Neodiprion lecontei: one gene and its partner. The protein of the gene in region 2 purifies or fractionates together with the protein of the main gene of each other region. This does not show direct contact. Links are inferred from orthologs where the notes say so. Each region holds a gene or a part of one and is shown on either strand. Other genes may lie near its edges. The genes, in order: prohibitin-2 and brefeldin A-inhibited guanine nucleotide-exchange protein 3.

The links.
Region 1: the proteins of brefeldin A-inhibited guanine nucleotide-exchange protein 3 (region 2) and prohibitin-2 purify together in Homo sapiens (affinity purification with western blotting; 4 studies listed by BioGRID). This does not show direct contact. The link is inferred for Neodiprion lecontei from reciprocal best matches to the Homo sapiens genes ARFGEF3 and PHB2.

What each region holds. Positions count from the first base shown.
Region 1 is NC_060263.1:14,560,429-14,567,237, forward strand, and holds prohibitin-2, read right to left. Parts: upstream 4,827-6,809; 5' UTR 4,601-4,826; coding exon 4,471-4,600; intron 4,311-4,470; coding exon 4,048-4,310; intron 3,887-4,047; coding exon 3,569-3,886; intron 3,417-3,568; coding exon 3,339-3,416; intron 3,121-3,338; coding exon 3,024-3,120; intron 2,725-3,023; coding exon 2,522-2,724; 3' UTR 2,471-2,521; intron 2,341-2,470; coding exon of another isoform or gene 2,336-2,340; 3' UTR 504-2,335; downstream 1-503. Other genes in the region: solute carrier family 35 member F6, read left to right, coding at 1-107, 198-365.
Region 2 is NC_060260.1:31,603,288-31,608,236, reverse strand, and holds the start of brefeldin A-inhibited guanine nucleotide-exchange protein 3, read left to right. Parts: upstream 1-1,864; 5' UTR 1,865-2,099; coding exon 2,100-2,184; intron 2,185-2,253; coding exon 2,254-2,387; intron 2,388-3,353; coding exon 3,354-3,488; intron 3,489-3,619; coding exon 3,620-3,785; intron 3,786-3,867; coding exon 3,868-3,997; intron 3,998-4,162; coding exon 4,163-4,432; intron 4,433-4,583; coding exon 4,584-4,814; intron 4,815-4,897; coding exon 4,898-4,949. Other genes in the region: mitogen-activated protein kinase kinase kinase 7, read right to left, coding at 108-225, 765-990, 1,577-1,654. UniProt on the Homo sapiens protein: Participates in the regulation of systemic glucose homeostasis, where it negatively regulates insulin granule biogenesis in pancreatic islet beta cells. Also regulates glucagon granule production in pancreatic alpha cells.

The DNA of each region.
Region 1 (6,809 bases), on a different chromosome or scaffold from region 2:
CAAAGGAAATGAGCGCCACTACAAGGATGGTATTGGACAGTGTAAGGACATTGGTAATATGGGCATTCTCTTTGGCATTTCAATGGCAAACTTTTCATTATCTTCAGGTGATTATGCAACTTTCGATTTCAGAATAATCTCACCATTGCAGTATTCATTTATTCCACAATTATATGGTCCTTCTCTTTGTCTTCTAGCTCATAGGTTTTGCAGTTTTACTAATTGGTATGTCCTGCTACAACAATATTGTTGTACCACAATTGTTCCGAAAAATTCAGTGTCGCTTGGGGCGGCGTCAGCCACAACAGGATGAAGAAAGCATCATCACTACAGCAGCCGACGATGTTGCCGATAAAAATGAATAATGAGTATTCCTTATACTACGTATTTAAATCGAATTCTCAATGATAAATACACAATTGTTACTGAAAGAGATAAATATTGAAACAAAGTATTTCATTCATACCACCATAACGGATTATGGGAATTTTTCTTGCATGGAATTGTTAGATGTGGTGAGAGGCAGATTACAGCAAAATGTAGAGAGAGGCTAATAGGAATGTGAGCGAAAGGCATGTGGAGTGTACAGCAAGAGAGCACGAGAGTAGTAGAGTTGACAATAAAGGTAGTAAGATGAAAAGCGGAAGAGAGTAAGGAGAGAGTAAAGAAAAGTTATGTGTGTGAGTCGAACTGTAGACGTAAGAGAACGAGAAAAACATGTTGAATTACCAGATTTAATAATCCTGCGTCTCTAATTGATCGTCGTATTGTTAATGTATTGTTACCATGAATATATAATTTGTTCTTTCTACAGACTCCTGAGTGGAATTGAACATTTCTCCCCATAAATAACCTTTCGTTATCCATTCCCTACACACACCTAGCAGCATATTGTCATCGTCTCTACATATGCAATTGCATCAGTAAACTGTTGCATTCATTGTTGATTTGTTTCACGAACTGGGTGCAAATGCACAAATCCTAGTAATTGTGGAAGTGATATTGAAACAGACAGATCATTAAGTTAACAACATAGATTATTTTGATGTTTGTAAGAAATTGAGGTGTAATGCTGTTAAAAGATTAAAATATATGCGCAAATTACCCATAGTTATACAAAGGCTCATTTACTAATCAATTTCCTTGTCATGCGTGTGTATGAGTTCGGTCTATAACCGGAATCTGTGGGGTAATTATTTGGCTGCGACTCGTATCCAGTCTCTGCTGTCACAAATTCACAAATGACAGCAAGGAAAAGACCTTGGATTTCAACATATATTGATCTCACAATATTGTACACGTATTTCGAAATTCTGAGGGTCCAATCGTTGACGCAACGCTTCTACGAAACCGTTGGAAGACAAATCGATTTTCAGGTCTGCAACTCGCTAAAAATCAAATCCGTTTGTATTTTGTCGGTTCCACAGATTTTGGAAAATGATACGTTCATCATAATCATGAATTGCATTTAATCAGACGCTGTATTCATATCATTTCGGAATTAATTAATATTTACGATTAGTTTAGAAAGAGTCATTGAAATTGATTCTCAGACGAAAAGTCTTAGGCTCGTAAAAAAGAAAGGACAACCCTTTTGTATTTTTGCAGTCCATTCCTCGCGAACTTTGCAAAACTGCTGGAATAAATTTATTTAGACGCCATATTAACGTAATTTTGCGAGAGTAACCGATTACACATAGTCTAAAGTCGCTGTGAACACCGGATCAAAAGTTACATCCAAACAACTAAAACTTTTATATTCTACGAATTCATCCAATTGTTGAATCTACGATTTCGTTTGCGTATTCCTAAGAGGCCAATTTCTCAAAGAATTCTCCGACAAGTTGATTCCAAAACAAAATTTTTAAGTACAGACATTTGAAGACAAACGGTCAACCTTAGCCAGAGTGTTGCCCGAATTTGGCAAATATGGTCTTTTCAAAAATTCTTTCCAAAAGTCAGAATCAAGCACGAATAACGCCTCTCAATGTGTTAGAAAAACACATCATTAGTTCCAACAGGGTATAAGTAAATATTGGAACGCTATTTCGGTATAACATACATCAGGAAAGAGATTGAAAAGAATTCTAACCTGCTTGATTTCGGAAATCAAAACTTCTACTGGCAAAAAAGTTACAATAAAACCACAGTACCGCAAACGCAGATTTTCAGTCACTAAAAAGCTCTGATCACATTTTACAAACTAAAACTGTGTTATTTATTAGAATTATCTTCACTATACAGGCGTGACAGTATTGATGTACACAAGTTTTACCCAGGACAATCCTTGCCACCTTCGGTATGAATCTATGTATCGTTCGTCGGATGGTAGTCCTTAGCCTGTAATAAAATTTGATTAGTACCATGTATTATGCCGGTGTGAAGTAGAGGATGGATGCCTGGTTATAAAGGATCAATAAGGAATTTGGGATAATTAGATATGACAAGGCAGGCTCGCTTGTGAGATTACTTTGAACAAACTTCTGACAGAGATCCGAAATTCTTCTAATTAAATTGCCGCTTAGGGAACGATAAGCTTAGCCCCCGCATCTGCAGAGTCCAGAATAAGGGAAATAGGATCTTCGACGTAAGGAGTAGTTGAGACAATCGACGGCTTTTCAACATTTCTCAAAGCTGGCTGAGATGAATTCATGTTCAAAGATTTGACTGCATGCTGCGCAGATTCATTCCAGTTTTTCCACCTAGCAGGCGATATTCCATTACCTGAAATCAGATGATCTCGGATTTTGCGAGCGTGCCTGGTCTTATTAGGTTAATGGCAAATGTGGGAAACTTGAAAATAATGGGCAGGAGGCCAGGGCAAGAAGCAAGCGCTGCAAAGCTCATATCTACAAATTTGCGTATTTTATAATATCTGTTAGCTACATGATTAACAATCAACTTTGTGTCCTTCGTATTTGCATTGTAAATTAGTTGACGCTGGAAATTATTAGAACGGAGCACAGATGACGAAATAGAGAAGTGCAGATTGAAGTCCTTTTCAATTAGTCATTACTGCTTACTTTTCAATTTCTCAGACAGATCATCGAATGTTGGATCCTGAATATTGAGCATAAGGCCGTTGCCACTCAAGTACACACGATTTTGTGAATTTGCGATCTAAAACAAAAAATCATATTGTTAATTTATCAACACTTGTTAACATTGAGCTTTGAAACAATGATACAGAAAAAGGGTTTGATGACAGTGAAGAAAGCTATAATCTATAATAATATGGGTCCGATACCTGTCACTGGTAATTTAATCATATTCATGGTTTGAAACATATAATCAAGTTATAAATAGCAAACAACTATTAGGTCCCTAAATTGAATTACCGTTCGAGATATGCTCTGCGCTGCCCGAATTTTTCTTAGCTTCAAGTATCCAGGGTTTCGTCCAACAGCTAAACCAAGGTATATTTCAGTCAAGGATAATTTATACAAGACCGAAAGAATCAGATATGACTAATCAGCCCACACGATTAGCAACAAGGCTAACGAAATGCCGCAGGTTTCTCCTTTTTGAATGTAACACTAGTTTTACGGTTGAAATAGTTAAAGGATATCATTTTTGCAGCTTCCGCTTCTCCCTCTGCTTGGACAATTTTCTGCTGCTTCTCCTGTTTGGCTCGTTCAACGACAAATGCTGCTCGTTGCGCTTCCTGTTGAGCTACCTGTTTTGCCTCAACGGCAGCTGTGTATTCCTTACCAAAACTCAACTCTGTTATTGACACATCATCCAAAACGATATTGAAATCTTTTGCACGCTCAGTTAGCTCTCTGCGAATCATCATAGATACTTGTTGTCGCTGCGTTATCAATTGAGATGCATTGAACTTGGCCACCACAGACTTTAGTACTTCATTACAAATGCTTGGCAGAACCTACAAGTGCAAAGTATTGTACCTATAAGTAAGTTTTGTTTTTACAAAAGTAGTTCAAAGTTAGTGCTAATTACAAAAAAAATAATTCGTGAAATGTCCTCTCGGTTTCAACTCACTGATATTTTTAACTGAAAAGTAGACGAAATAACAGTTTTAATCACCTTTTCATCATAGTCAAGACCTAGTTGCCTATACATGACAGGTAAATTAAATGCATCAGGGCGAGATAAGACTCTAAGGGAAATGTTGACCATTTGAAGATCCTTTGATCCAGTTGGCGATGAAATTTTCCTAGGTTTGCTTCTGATGTCATATATAATGGGATACTGAAACCACGGAATTCGAAAGTGAAGTCCTTCCGTCATGATGTCCTTTTGGATACCTCCGAGGCGTGAAAATATGATTGCCCGATGCCCACCATCAACTATTGGTAAAATGAATCGATGTTAATACGAGGAGTTTATAGATTAAAACCGTATGTACAAGCAGTGTTTGTACAGAAAATTTTCTCCATCACAACGCAATTGTTCATGTAATTTTATAACTAGAACACAAATTAGCTGGTGTGAGACGAATTTATTTACCAGTATACATAGACTGTGTGACTCCATACATGGCAGCGCCGGCAACGGCGAGCAATTTCAATCCCGGCGATAAACCATTCGGAGCTTTTCCAAACTTGCCAGCCAGTTCGTTGAGCTTACTTTGCGCCATTGTCGATATAGATTTCACGGCGTATTATCAGTTTCAACAACCAAACCAAAATAACGATCCTCAAATAAATGCTCGATAAATTCGGGAATGATTTCACGTAACGAACAAACTAGCTGATGCAAAGGTTAAAAGGCCGATAACGAGGCCTGCCGCTGGCTCTACTTGGTTTCAACCACGTGCTCTTGATGAAATCTAGACTGCCGACTTCGATCGTGTAGATGAATTGAGGACGAGTCGGGCGTGAAGACGCTGATCGCGCTGCAACAAAAAGTGCGTTCCGAAATCACGTATTAACCGGTGCTCGGAGTCCCCTAAGACGGAAACAGAGTTAGTCATTAACTAGAAAGTGCAAACGAGATAAAAGATTGCTAATGGTAATGGGAGCTAATTTTGGAACGCATCCAAAAGCGAACGCTGTGTTTGAAAATTGACTGACAGTACTGTCAGTAATCCTTTATCTCTTTTGCGCTTCCAAGTTCGTGAATAGCTCTGACTCTGTCCTAGGGAATTTTCAGTACTGTCAGTCAATTTGCGAACATGGCCTAAATATTTAACAGTAAAGAAATTAAATATTGAACTTTAAGTAAAAAATAATAAGTATCAAAAAGACACAGTATGACGCACGCGCTGATTTTAGGTTATATGCTTCATTTCAAATATAATTTCGGTGGCACATTTTCATCCCCACCCCACATACATCCCTAGATAGCAGCGCCGTGACATGGCTATTTCAAACACTTGAAACACGGACAACAAGAAAACTACGCCGCTCCGCAGAAAATTGGTTTCTTTGCAAGACCTGTACCTATGTAAGACCGTGGTCACGACGCAGTGGGTCTAGGAATTCATTGTCAAGCGGCGCCCTCTGCATCTTTCCTTCCACGCGCAACGCAATCCAGTAAATACCGCGGGGATAATGATTTGTTGGATTGACACATATTTTCATAGACATATAAGAACTATGCATATTCTACGGTTAATTTCCACGGTCATGGGTTATCTGTCCCCAAGTGTACGTACAGTATATGCTGTAAGCCTGGCTTGTAAATATGCATTTCATGACGTTTATGACGTCACATACAACGGTCTGGTCTTTCAACGTTGAACTAAGACCGCTGATTTCATTGGCCAGTTCAGTAGGTCAGTTGGATCTGACCAATGAAATCACCTACAAATCGAGACAGACTTCTTGTGGATTGTAAACTCCTGTCATCCAAAAATTTGCTTGTTCAATCTTGCCATATTTGCCGTTGATCATAAAGACGGGTAACGGCAGTGAACCCAATGGGGTTCTGTGTGTTTTATGGTATTGCATGTATTTACATGCTCCCGCCGATACAGAAACTTTCGGATCGCTATTACGGTTTCTTTAAATTCTTCCAGCAACGCTTCACCAAAATCAATATTAATTATCAATACTTCACGAAAAAAAATAAAATAAAAAAGAGAAAGTACAGACTTCAACGTATAGGGTATGTGTAACATCGTCTTCATAATATACCACTGTTAACTGAATTCTCATTCGAGTAATTGTATTCAGGGGTTGCAGAGCATGGATTTTTATTATCAATGCCTAATGTAATTTATATTACGTATGATATAAATATCGCGCCTTGGTCACAAAGGTCAAACAACTCTAAAATTGGCGTTTTTGAGTTAATAAAAATATATGTTAATACTATACAATTTCTATTGCTGAGGTTCGAATCTTTAACCACGCGAAGTGACACTTGTGTAGTCGTAAAACTCGCCACCCAGAGGACAGAAGTGTTGTCATCGTAGCGCGCCGGTTTTGAACCGGATGGGCATCAAGTATGTCGTTTCAAACGTTTCGCAGCCAACTTTACACCAGTTATAAGACTTGAATAGTTACACGATATCTCAAATTGTGACACTTCATACGAATAAGGTAAGTCAAATATTTTTTTACCCTGTATCGTAACTCAAAAAGTGTCGCTTTATTTCGATGAAATATAAATCAATAATTAATTATTAATATAATATGTCATTTTTGTAATTATGCCACCTTTATCGGTCAAAAATGCGTCATTGTGGTCCTTGCAGCGTATTATCTTTAGTTGTGTCATTATAAGTATGTATGTACATCGTTTGCATACAGAGGTTACTACAATATACGAAATACTATTTCGAGTTGTGTCTTTATTTAAGCCTGACTAATTTCAATAATTACGGTCCCCTGCATTTTAAT
Region 2 (4,949 bases):
TTATAGTGTCTGATAGAATTTCAATTATGTCCATGTTTGAAAGTGAGTGGCTCTTAGAAACACAACAACATGTGCATAGCTATGTAATGATTAAATATTTGACCAACCTGTGAATTAATGGTTTTGGCTTCATGTTGTGAAGATAAGCAACCCCACGAGCACACTGGAGTGCCCAACTCATTGCATGGCCTGCTGTGTAGTAAGGTTGTGGATTACAATGCAACACTGTAACATTAACACATTATAGTTATAAAATATGTGTGTATTGTAAAGAAATTTTTTTTAAAAAAGCAGAAAAAGTATCAATTCTCAAAAGATACGTACACAGCTCGAATGTAAATGGAAGAATAAAGCAGAGAAAGTATCATTCACGTATAATTATTAGAATGATGGGACAGAGCAGCCTTAAAGTGAAATTTGAAAACTCAGTAATGTATGCTGTATTTTGCAGATCATTGGTGTTTTATATTCAGGCACTGCATTACTCCTATTTCATAGATAAGGTATCAAGTAAAACCACTACATTTGTTTAAACATACTGGGTTGTACTCAACAACCAAAATTATTTCAAGCAACTCTATTCGCAATTGATTAAATAAAGAAATACCATGATGTGATACTTCTGAAATAATACTTATCATTTACAAAGTAAATCATTTTTTAGGATGCATGGTCATTTTTTGGATATGTGTATATTTCACAAATCATTAGCTGGATGTTAGTTTGAATTAACACTAGTGTACTATAAATTTTCAATTACTTGCCATTATATAAAGAGCCACCCTCAGCATACTCCATAACTAAACAAACTGGATTTTTTGTACATGCACCATAGAGTTTAACAATATTAGGATGTGCTACTCTGGATAGCTGGCGCACTTCGACGGTGAATGCCTTCCTCTCTCCCTCAGAGTTTATGTGTTTCACCGCCACATACTGACCTCTCCATCGTCCTTTCCAGACAACTCCAAAGGAGCCTTTCCCAACAATCTGTTATCAGAAACAATTACTTTTTTACTTTACTGTATTAGTTAAAGGAAGTTGGATCGCTGACATAAAATGTCTAAACAAATCATGAGGCGCGTATCAAAGCTGATTAGATGAATTTGATTACACAGCAATGGCTGATATCTCTTTGTAAATAAATGTTTTAATTTTAACTAACGTTAGCTGATCTATAAAGCTTGTTCGTTGATATTGTATAAATCAATTCACTCTCTTTTACAAACGCGAGTTCTATGCACGTCAATAATAATGTTTACTGATGAATAACGGTGAGCAACAGCCCGAAAGTGGATGGACATATTAACAGTCAGGACTCAGTTGATTGATCGAGATAAATAATTGAGTGAAAAAAATATTCATGTATGTTTATAGAGACCAAAATGTTTTGGAGACGAAGATGTTGTGAGGTTATGTTTTCGCAATAGATTTTTATACGAGGTTCATTGATACGATATGGAATTTTACGAGTGCTATTTATTTAAGGGTAAGTTATTTGCTACAAAATGACAATTTGGTGAGGGTAAACATAATGAAAATGTGCGATTTTCTTACACAGATATCACAAGATTACCTCCTGTGTTTCAATTTCATTGTAGTTAATTTCTTCAACAAACTGTTGCTGATGGCCAGTTCCTTCCTTGCTCGCCATCACATACCGTCCGCATCACATTATTTTCAGGCCGCATTTACCCAGCTAACGCAAATTTTTCACAAATATTTATTTGAACTGGCATTCAAATTGTTTCGCCATTTGCCATTTTTCGTCTTTCTACCGACGTGTTTGCGTTGTTTTGAGACGAAGTGGGCGTTCTGTAATACAATTGGTCAAAGATATCAAACCTGCAATGGCGATCGCAGCGGCGCTGCTGAGTGGACGAGCGTGCAGCGGAAAATTTGAGAAATATCAAAAGCAGAACACTCGCGATAGTTGTCGAATATAATCAATTATTAGACAAGATTTTAAGTAAATAATATAATTCTCATATCGAAATGACTACGCCGCGTTGTTCCGAGTTTATTCTGGACTCGTAGGACATTTTTATCTCGTCTCCGGGTTCTGTACTCGCTTTATCGATTTGTTGCATGGTTCTGTCATGGAGGACCTCCTGCTGCAGATCGTCAAGGAGGCTTCGCACGCGAAATTACCAAACATACGTAAATCGGCGCAAGAGGCACATGGTGAGCTAAACATTGAACATCTTATCTTATCCATTTTTTGATTCTTCACTCACTTATTTTCTCCCACAGATTTCCTGGACAAGCAGCAAGGTCTATTGCGGGATCCCCCGCACGAACTGCGGGCGAAATGCCTCCACACCTGTCAGCTCGCTCTCGAAACAAGGAGAAGCAAATTTGTCGCCTTTGGTCTTGCTGGCCTACATGTAATGCATTCTAATGATCCCGATATTCACAGCTGTTCGCTTTATTTCGCCAGCTTTCCTTATCGCTCGTACATTGCCTCACTCTCACTGTGTAACACCCTCGTATTTGCAATAACCACATCCTGGGTGGTACAATTACTGATAGTGCTTTCACCATATGATACTCACTATGCTACACAGCTAGCACTCATTCACATTTCTGACGCTGACTGATTTTTTCTACTAATTACTGTTTCGACGATAACTGTATAAAAATATTTAAATTATATTTCGAAGTGAAACTATACTTTAACTGAAAAAAATTGTTCCAAGAATATAATTAATGTTAAAATTAGATCATTGTGCCACAAATTTTTGTTTTCAGAATTCATGATTTTTTGTAAAATACTTTGAGCAGCTTGACTAGATTTAGAAACTCATTCAGAGCTGTGTTATTTAGCAAGTTACCAATCGATATTCAGACAGTAGTTTTTGCTTACCAATTGATTGTTTTTACATGTCTCCTTGCAATTTCAGACCTGTTATGCAGTGAAAGTTGATCAATAAGAAATAGGAAACTATTTTTTTTGATTTCAGTCTCTTTCTCCTGTTATGACAGCGTTTTGAATATATTCTGCAAATTTGAAGCTCATGCCAAATGATTTTTATTGCAATGGGAGAAGCTCTAAGTTTTTTGGTCACGGTTTCGACACTGATTACACAATATATAACATATTTTTACTGACATATCAAGCACTCTGCTTATGTTTCACTTATTTGCTCATGTCGTTTTTTTAATCGACTAATATATAGTGTTAAATTTGACATTAAATGTTTCTAAGATAATTTATACTTATTCGCTTCAATGAGTTATTTTTTCAGGATTATTCGAACAAACATTTTGTTTCTAATTGAAATTGAATAGAATAATTTCTTATAGATATAAGTGGTTATATGCAATTAATGTTCATTTATGTCTTATGGCAGAAAATGCTGAGGGACGATAGATTTCAGTCTCCTTATGAGCCGGAGGATGATTCCTTGTGGCTTCCAGCTCAAATGCTCCATACTATGAGTTCCATATTATCCCAGTCAGACGATGCACAGACAGACATGCTAAAAGTAAGTTAGTTGTAAAATTGAAAACAGAAATGAAGAGCAAATACAGTCTAGGCTGTTTTTACCTGTGATTCATTTTAAACCAATCAAATCATTAATATTATTATTGATGTTATTCGTAAAATTTTTCCTAGGTGCTACTGCAAGTTGCATGTTCTTCATATTGGACAATGAATGGTCGTCTCATTATTGCTGTACTAACAACTTGTAGCGAGGCCTTTGAAAATGGAAACCAAGCAGTTAGAACTGCGGCACAGGCAGCTACCAGCCAAACTCTTCGATCCTTCTGCTTATTTCTAGGCAATATGAACAGATATTTAATTGCTTAGGATGTAGTTTAGTATACACCACAAATTTTGACTACTAAATATTTTTATTACAGATGAAGAATGTCAAGAAATGGACGAGAATGCCAAGAAGAATAAGAATATTCATGAAAGAGGGGTATCTTGTTTTAATGAGGCGATACCTATACTACAATATATCTGTAGCAAATTAGATGAAGCTCAAACGTAAGTATTGCTGAAAAAAATCAAACGAAACATTTACAGTTGAACTTCTGTAGAAAAAAAAAAATTCATTTTAATATTCTTCGAACAATGTCACCGCAGTATTAAAATGTGCACTTATTACTGCAAAGTTAAGTTTAATCTAATATTTTTCAATCATTATTCCAGAAACGGCCGTAATGGAACAACAGTTGTGTTTCTTCTAGAATGCTTGCACACATTGATATCATCTCTTCCGCAGAAAATCCATACTAATGCACACTTCACGACATTCTTGTGGCAAAAGTTTTGCCCCGCGCTCATAGCTTTTCTGGGTACTCCAAGAGTTGACAAAACATTTATATCCAGGGAAGGAAAAGATACGGAAGTTGGTAGAGGGTCAGGCTACTTAGCAACAGCTTTGAGTTTTGACAGCCATCAGGCTAAAACTGTTTATAGGTATGATATTACAGTGGCAAGCAAACTTGGCTCAAAGTGTGTCGAAAAAAGTAATTCCGCACTGATTAGATACACTTTATGGCGTTTTATATAACATATTTGGAATATACCTATGAAAATTTAGTGTAATAATTTAATTTACAAATTTCAGTATCGGAACAGAATTGGTCCGTTTGGTTGGTTGTGTTGGGTCGCTTCGCCCGGTACTGGAATCAGTATTTCACAGAATGTTACTATACCCACCACCACAACACAGAATAGAACCTTTAAAAGCACTTCGGGAGTTGTTGCGTAGTCCGAGTAGAATGGTAGATTTTGCAGGACCTTTGCTGGTTGAAGATGAAAAAGGAAGTCAACAAAGCGACATGGCATTAATGCGACTGTAGGTTTTCAACTTTTAACCGACGATCTTCAATTCAGCCAAAGATTAGTTACATTTATTTTATATCATTATTCATCTTCCAGAGTTATGGATTCAATAGAAGAATCCACAACAGCTGGGCCGTTGGTACTTCAT